Linked DNA regions of Cricetulus griseus. The protein of the gene in region 2 binds, or shares a complex with, the protein of the main gene of each other region. Links are inferred from orthologs where the notes say so. Each region holds a gene or a part of one and is shown on either strand. Other genes may lie near its edges.

Region 1 (4,015 bases), about 64 Mb from region 2:
ATTTCTTCACAGGTAACATAACCCAGTAAGAATGTGAGAGCACAGACTAATACCATAGGCACTGTGGCAAAGTATAACACTGGCCAAGTCATACTAAGTAACACAGAGAACCAAAGAACGCGGCTGTGCTTCAGTATAAAGAACAGAAGTCCAGAGTGGAGAAATGTCCAGATTTGCCACTCCTCGATACACAGTAAGCAAACCACAGGCTTTCATCTCATTTTTAAAGTCCAGAGACTGTGCTGAGAATCCCTAGTAGATCAGACCTCTACTGCCTGAAAATAACTGTCTACAGAAAGTATGATTAGAGCAACAAAGAGCAACAAGAGTGTTTTAAAATCGACTAGTTTAGCAAATCTCTAAAAGAAAATAACATTTTAGGCTTGGTTTTAATTACACTTTAGTAAATGTAGCCAAATCCTGAAAAAACAAAAATTAGAAAGAGGTGAGAAAATGCATAATTAAATGAAATGCAAAAACACCATGCAGAGTGAAAATAAACTTCATGAGAGATTAAAGATTTTTACAAGGAAAACCTATTAAAACAGGTACATGGGCTTTAATGATCAAGCCCAAACAGCAGACTCTTTTCCCCCTTAGATACTCAAATTGCTGTTTTCAGGTATTTAGAAAAAATAACTCCAATTAGAAACCATAATGCTGGGACATTCTTTTCTTTTGATTTATTTAATTTGAATACATGTCCTGCCAACTATAAAACACTAGTGTGACCAACACACCAGAAATCCCAGCATGATCAACAAGTGCAGCTTTTGCACCTGTCAAGGGACACTGAGAAGAAGTAACTATTAAATGTCAGTCTTAATCCTCATCAGAACTGGAATCATCCTCTTGGTCAGAAAGTTCCGGCACTGGGAATCGAAGAATGGCAGCAACTCCCGTCAACTGGCCAAGCTGTTCCCCAGACACATGGAGACTAGAGAATATCCGAACCGTGCCTGCGTTATCTTTCACGCTGTCCACCAGCCTGACATACCGGCTCCGGGTGGCCACATCCTGATGCCGGAAGAGCTCATCACTGATGAGCAATGTGTCGATCGCCAAGGCTTCGTTGGCCCTCTCCACCTGCTTGAGTCCATAGAAGGCTCGGTCAGGTTCGTGCTGTAACATTTTATAGAAGTCATCCAAGGCTTTTACTTCTCCAGCAGCTTTCGTGTCTGAAAGGCGGCTAGCTACAGTAGGGTCACAAAGGGCCTCTTTCAGGGAGTACTTGTGTCCAGAGGAGGCGTGTACCTAGAATCACAATTATAAAAGACAAAGAATCTTTGAAAGTATCCGTTAATCAGCCCACAATGGCGTAAGACAAAAGCATGAATAAGGCCTTATCTATTTAAGGACTTCTGCAAAGGTTACCTTATAAATGTGGTAGACCTACACCGTTCTCTTTACTGATTCATTTATAATCCCAGTTAAATTGAGTTTTAGCCTTCTACTACTCTAAAACATTACGAACCATTCACACCAATCCCTCTGCCCACTCCTGAATTTCTCTGGGTAAGAGTTTTTACCTGAAGGAATTTGGACCGGTTTTCCAGGAGCACTTTGTTGTCAGTCTTCACCGCTTGCTGAAACATGTAGTCGCAGAACTGCTCTCGAACAAACCCTGGGCTGGCCACCAGAACGCACTTTACAACATCAAAGTTGATGTGGCGCTGGATGGCCTGGACCACCTGTTCATAGAATCTCTCCAGGGCCTTGTCATGCTGGGAGCAGTTGCCTTTCCGTTTCCTGGGTATGTTCACCTCCACCTTGGCACGGGTGAGGGTCATACTGGGTGTCACTAAGCAGACGTGGGCGAGGCCCTCCTGCATGACCACAGCTGCCACATCAGCGCTCCACGCTGGGTCACAAGCCTGCTCGATGCGCTCCAGAACCACACTGTCCCACTGTTTCTTGGCCAGGGTGAACTGGCGGTTGGGCTCCAGTTCGATGGTGTGGTAAGCTCCCATCTTGACATACTCATTCTCTTGGATATTGGTCCCCTTAACTCGCAGCTGGCAGGCTTGAGAGTCAAAGTCGATGGCCTCCACGCAAAGAGTGAGGGTGGTGCGGACGCGGTTGCTCCCGACGCTGCCCGTGGAGGACTCGGTCTGGACCTTGCGGATGGTGGAGGCGCGCAGGCTGTCGCCCACCTGCACCAGATTGTAGGTGTGCCACATGTCCTCGGGCTCCTCGGGGATGAGGGTGACCTGGCCCGCATTGTCCTTCTCGATGTTCTTCCTCACAAGCTTCATGACCTCGCCAGGGGCTCACTTCAAAACAGAAGGCGCCGAGGGGGGTCCGCAAGAGACACAGAGGCGCGGGTGGGGGTGGGGTCCTAGGCTGGGAAGGGGACAGGAGAGAAACACTACCTCTAACTCCTGCCAGCCCGGGACAGGCTTTCCCCCGACGCTTTTCTGAGCCTCGGCGCGCAGATCCACGCTGCGCGGCAGACCCCACGCTGAGCACACACAAGCCGGCACTTTCAGTCACCGGCCCCGCGCAAGTGGCTGACGCGGCGATCGCGCATGCGCAGCCCGCCTCCCGGCGCATGTCTGTCGTCCCTACCGGAGAGGCGGGCCCTATCGCTTACGCGCGCACGCAAGCGCAGTAACAGGAAAGACGCAGCCTAGCTGAAAGTCAAGGGAGGTGCTAAACGGCTCTGGCCGCCACTCTTGAGAATTAAAGCCGAACTCCGGGTGGCTGAGTTTTCCCACGCCTCCCTGTGTACGAGGAACTGCGGAGTGTGTGAGTGCTAACGTAAGTATCTAAACTGAGTTTGCCACTTTGCACTTCCTTCCCTGATGTGGAGCCAGCTTCCAAACTTATGTAAAAGTGAAAAGAGCCCACGAAAGTGCAGTGCAGACTTAGTCCCCGAAGTCCAAACTCTGCCTGGTCTTGCTCATTCCTTCCCCGCACTCAGACGTGACGCGCGCTTGTTGGCACTGGGATTCCCAGAAGCAGTTTCTAAGGACTAGTCACGTTCGGCCTGGGCTCAGCAACATGCCCAACTGTTTTCTGCGACGTTACCCTGTTTGGACTACCCAGTTAACCCAGATGTTAAAGGACAGAACCCAGAGAGAGCAGAAGCTATGCGTGGAATGTACCCCTGGTGGACCTCTGGGTGGCTTGACCTGATGTCCTGGGAATCCCAGAATCCAAAATTGGCAGTCAGCTCTCCAAGGCTCAGTAGTCTCTGAGGCGCTCAGTGTGGGAGCTGGCCTGCAATAGATTAGCGCTGATTCTCCCTGCCAATAACTGGCCAAAAGCTGAGGCTATGGTAAATTAAGATAAACTGATCTACTAACTATGACCGCCCTCCAAAGAAGAGCCATAGAATTGGTTGTAAAGAAAAAGAAAAACCTTACACACACACACCCTTTTTTTTCACCATGGCGATGGGAATATAGGAATGCCTCTTTCTTGAGTCTGTAGACAGTGGGAAGCAGAGAAGTCTTGAGCTCACTCATACTCTCACTGTGTTTTAAGTATTTTAAGGATCAAGAAGGTGCTGCATAGGCTCTTAATGAATGAAAGGTCTTCATTGGAGTACAATCAACTTTTGGAAATTTCAAAAACACTTTCCCACTCTTTCTTTTCTTATAAAGAAAATGCTACCCTAATTTGTAGAAAAGTAAAATGAAATTCTGAGAAAGCTGATGAATGTGTTCAAGAGCATGTAAGTGGCATTCAGATTCAGGACTGATGAACTACACACTGTTCCAGAAACCACTCATCTGTCTTCTAATCATCTGTGCAAATGCAAGTTACGAGCTGTTATCCCCTGCCATCTCCTTTAGCTGACGCCTTTACCAGTTCACTCTCCACACTCTGGGAACCAGCCTGTTTCTACCAAGTCTAGGTAATCATTGTTATTTTTGAGAAAGATTTTACTTCGGTTAAGAGGCCTGGCTGCTCTTCCAGAGAACCAGGGTTCAATTCCCGGCACACACATGGCAGCTCACAACTGTCTGTAACTCCATTTCCAGGGGATCTGACACCTTCATACCAATGC
Region 2 (4,269 bases):
TACTCCAAGAGCTGCATCATCGAGTTGTGGTTAGCAGTATGGATGATTACAGTGGGATAGAAGCTGTCATTTGTATTTAAGTTTTATATGTAAGGATCTCAAATAGTGTTGGTTGGCCTGGAACTGCCTGTGTAGCCAAGAATAACCTTGAACTCCCGATCCTCTGCTTCCACCTACCAAGTACTGAGATTAAAGGAATTGAACCACCATATCCAGCACATTTAATATTTTTCAGCACCTTAATGTTCTGTGTTAAGTTTCCTTACATGGGCAAATATAGTTTAACAACTTTACAAATTAGATAATATATGAGTAAGATAATATCTTCACTTACAAAGAGATAGGCTGCAATGTAGAAATTATTTAAAGGTGTAAAATAAAACACTTAAAAACCGTATAAAATTAGCATCTACATTTTTTTGCATAAAATTTTGCCTTGGAGCCATTAAACAATGATAGTTAAGAATAACCATTAAGTAGTCAGAATTCAAACCTGAGCCATTTACGAATATGAATTTGTGTTTTCTCATTATCTGGATAAGAAAAGCTGAGTAAGGTAGAATTTGACATTTGCCTTTGATACAAGGTCTTGGCATTCAAAAACAAGCTACAACAAAGAGGTTGTTCGGTATGATAATGAGGTTGATGCTTTTACACAGCATTATTAGCCCTATGTTTTACAAAACGAGGATGTTTAATAACAGGTTATAGATTTATGTATTATGTAATACATCATGAGTACCCAAGGCTAATGCTGTGTCTGAAAAGCTTGTACTAAACGCTCTTAGCAAGTTCACATGTTTATGTATTCAATCAATGCCCAAGGCATAATCTCTTAATTATTCCGTGTTAATGAAAATAGTTTACATAGCTAAGGCCAGACAGTTGTTTACCAGAGCTGTTAAGGGAGGATGGAGCCCATATCTGAAGCCATGAATTACCCACAAAGCATAGTGACCCAGTGTAGCTGTATTTTAATTACTTGTTTAGAAACTTTTTCTCCCTCTAAAGCTTGGACTAATTATTATGCCACATTTACACACTATTGTGGACGGATATCGTTTGTATCTACAGTCTAAAAGCTGAAACAGAATCCTTGGTCCTTGCTCTTATTGAGCCAAATTGGCAGCTTCCCAAAGGATCAAAAGCCAAATATGGAAAATAATCCTGAACGCCGGTGGTCAAAGATGCCTGCATGTCACGTTCACTGTCAAGCAACAGCGTGGAGGTAGCTGAAAGAATTTCCGGCACTGAAATCCACGTCAGTCAACTGGCTTCTGGGCGCCGCCCGCCGGCTCGCGAGTGCGCGTGCGTCCTCGGGAGGCCGGCTGTGACCCTGAGAGCTTGCCGTCGCGTAGTGCGCAGGTATGACGTCGCGTCTGCGCAGACGCTTGGCGCAGCGGCCTGGCGGAAGCCAAGATGGCGCGGAAGAGGTCTCTAGCTCGCGGTTGGCGCTTTATCCGTGTCTAAGCCGAGTTCTTTGAGAGGACCGTGGCTGACGCCCTGTGTGCCGCGATGGCTCGGCATCGGAACGTCCGAGGCTATAACTACGATGAAGGTGAGTGGCAGGGCCGCGCCGGGCCGTCATCTTAGCTGTAACAGCTGGGTTCCTGGCCTCATTATCTCCGCCTGGATTGGAATGACCCCGGAGCCACACTAGAACTGGGGTTTGTGTCGAGGAGGGGAGAAGGTGGGGGAAAGGATTAGGACATCAGTTCCCAGGGAAGAGAGAGAGAGTGATGGCTGCCTTCTGGGTTGACCTTATTTACGGACGGGTGACAGTGTGGCATCTCAAGGGCCTACGATGTTTGGTGGCGACGTTGGGATCCGATGCTCTTTGGTATCTAAACGTTGCCTCTTTTCTTATTGTTTCATTTGGGGACTCACGCGCCAGTTTCTAACTTTTGTCTCATAAGCCCTCCTTCACACGTGCCCACGAGGCATTACTTACTTATAAAACAGGCTGGCTTAGTGCTTGCATTCGACCGACCTGCTAAAACTATTAGATTTATATAATATCTTGCCTGTGTTCGTGCGTTTTGACTGCATAACCTCGCTTGACCTGAATTTTCAGCGAATTTCAAAATTCGGAACCTAAGAAATGGAAAAGATTCACGTTTAAAAGGCTCAAGAAGTTAAGTCGTTTTGCTGATCTTCAAGTGTATACTCAGTATATTGACTGCTATACTTGATGTAAATGTATTTTAAAATGGAAATATAAAGCAACACTAGAGGGGAGAGCGTGTAAATAGACTCACTGATGTTTTTAATGAAAAAAATACATATATTAATGTATGTAAGGAGTTAAAAGTGATTTTAGGAAGACTTGTTATACATGAGTGGATAATAACAGGTATTTATCAAGCATCATAGAAGCTAAAAATAAAAACAAATGTGATTAAAGACCTACTGCTTTCGGGAACATGTAATGTTGAAGTCGGATGTTATTGACACCCCTGGGAGATTGTGAGCATCAGTGTACTTAGGCATGGACAGCTAACACCCAGTGCTGCATTTGAAGACTTGGACCCAGTAGGTCAGGGATGTCTTACTTTGCAGACGTTCACCGTCAGAATATTGTAGTGGATATCTAAAAAATGCCTTCCACTCCACTCCCACTGAGAAATGACTTTAGACTGGGAGAGATTTTGTAGATATGAAATAAAGGACACCCATCCCTTTTGTATTTTATTTCCTCATCCAGTGATAACTGAGTACTTGGAGTACTGCGTAAGATACTCCTTAAGTAAGGACTGTCTAAAGGGAGCAGCTGGTTAAAACAAGAGAGATTCCACACAATGTAATGACAGTGCTGTGGGAGCAATGTAAAAGAAAACGTCTAAATCAGAAAGGGTCAGGATTTCTTCGTGAAGTATTTGACAAGAGTTATATGTCCTCTGAGTCAGTGCTAAATACCTTTTATCTTGGCTACCAGAGGTCAAGTTATATTTCTTTGTAACAATTGGTGACATCATAACCAAGCCTGCCCTGTCCTGTCATGGATGTTTTTTGCCCTTCCTGCTTACGAAAGTGTAAATCATTTTCAGTGTCTAGTCTTCTTCCCAGTTAAGCTTCCCTTTGGGGTTTCAATAATTAAAAATTCATAAAAGTATTTTAATTTCATTAGTCTGAGGTCTAAAATCTATTGGTTCCTCTTTGGTCTTAGCCTTTAAGCATGCTGTACCTGTTTCTTGAATGCCCTAGAAAGATGGCTGACTCTCTCTTTTGGAATTGGTTTGAGTATTCTATTCTTGGGGAAATTCTAGTTTTCACATGTGTGTTCCCAGATTGCTCTGTATTTTTCACGGTGAGCACTTGTCATACAGTTTTGTAGTCACCCTGTTCTGGGCTATTAGACTTTTGGAGTTGACAGAGCTGGAGATGTACACACTTTGTACTGAAAATGTCTCTGTAATAGTCTCTGGTATAAATTTATGTTCCTTGCAGGGTTTTTAATAGTTTGTCTCATTAACTGGTGAACACATTAATTTAGTGCCGCATGTATGCCAGGTACTTGGTTAAACTAAGTTTTTCCTGTAATTTCTCATGCATTGAAACATGAGTTGTGCTTTGAAGACAATAAATTAAGAGGAGGCTGCTGAAGGTAAAGGTTGTAAGGAAGACTATTGGAGCCTTACCTAGAGAAAGAAGCAACCTTGGGAAAATCTCAACCAAGAACATACTCCATTAAGACTGACTTACTCCACTTACAAGCTCCATTTTAAGACTTAACAGTCACGAAAGTCAGGCTTTCTGGTTCTCCATGAAGAGTGACTTTATGGCTGGATTGTATACCCTATAAAGATATTTGCCTAGAGTGCAATGGGTGGCTTACCTCAGGTTTTGTGAAGTTAGACAATTCACATATATCATCTACAGGATTATTACTGGATTTTGGTCACATGAAAGATGTGAGAAAATTAAATAAAGCCCAATTAGCTTAAAAACAGAAGGCCTATGTATGTTTTAAAAGTATACATTGTCAGTAATTTAGATTGTTATTAGTAAATATCTTGGAATTTATGGAAAAGTAGACATTTAGGTTTCTTGAAAGTTGGTATTTTCTTATTTTGTAAATTATTCAGGTGTTTGCTCATGAATAAAGAAGACATGATTGAACTTGTAATGAATCTATTTTGTGTTTTAGATTTTGAAGATGATGATTTGTATGGCCAGTCTGTGGAGGACGATTATTGTATTTCACCATCAACAGGTAAGTTATTAAAAAAAAAAAAAAAGATTTCTTTGATTTGACTGTTTAAAAAAGGT

What was found.
Region 1: Hbs1l (region 2) and Pelo share a complex: the UniProt entries of both Homo sapiens proteins name them as parts of the pelota-HBS1L complex. The link is inferred for Cricetulus griseus from reciprocal best matches to the Homo sapiens genes HBS1L and PELO.

The regions. Positions count from the first base shown.
Region 1 is NC_048595.1:332,904,997-332,909,011, forward strand, and holds Pelo (protein pelota homolog), read right to left. Parts: upstream 2,498-4,015; 5' UTR 2,256-2,497; coding exon 1,530-2,255; intron 1,255-1,529; coding exon 823-1,254; 3' UTR 659-822; downstream 1-658. UniProt on the Homo sapiens protein: Component of the Pelota-HBS1L complex, a complex that recognizes stalled ribosomes and triggers the No-Go Decay (NGD) pathway.
Region 2 is NC_048595.1:268,535,219-268,539,487, reverse strand, and holds the start of Hbs1l (HBS1-like protein), read left to right. Parts: upstream 1-1,378; 5' UTR 1,379-1,515; coding exon 1,516-1,558; intron 1,559-4,147; coding exon 4,148-4,213; intron 4,214-4,269. UniProt on the Homo sapiens protein: GTPase component of the Pelota-HBS1L complex, a complex that recognizes stalled ribosomes and triggers the No-Go Decay (NGD) pathway.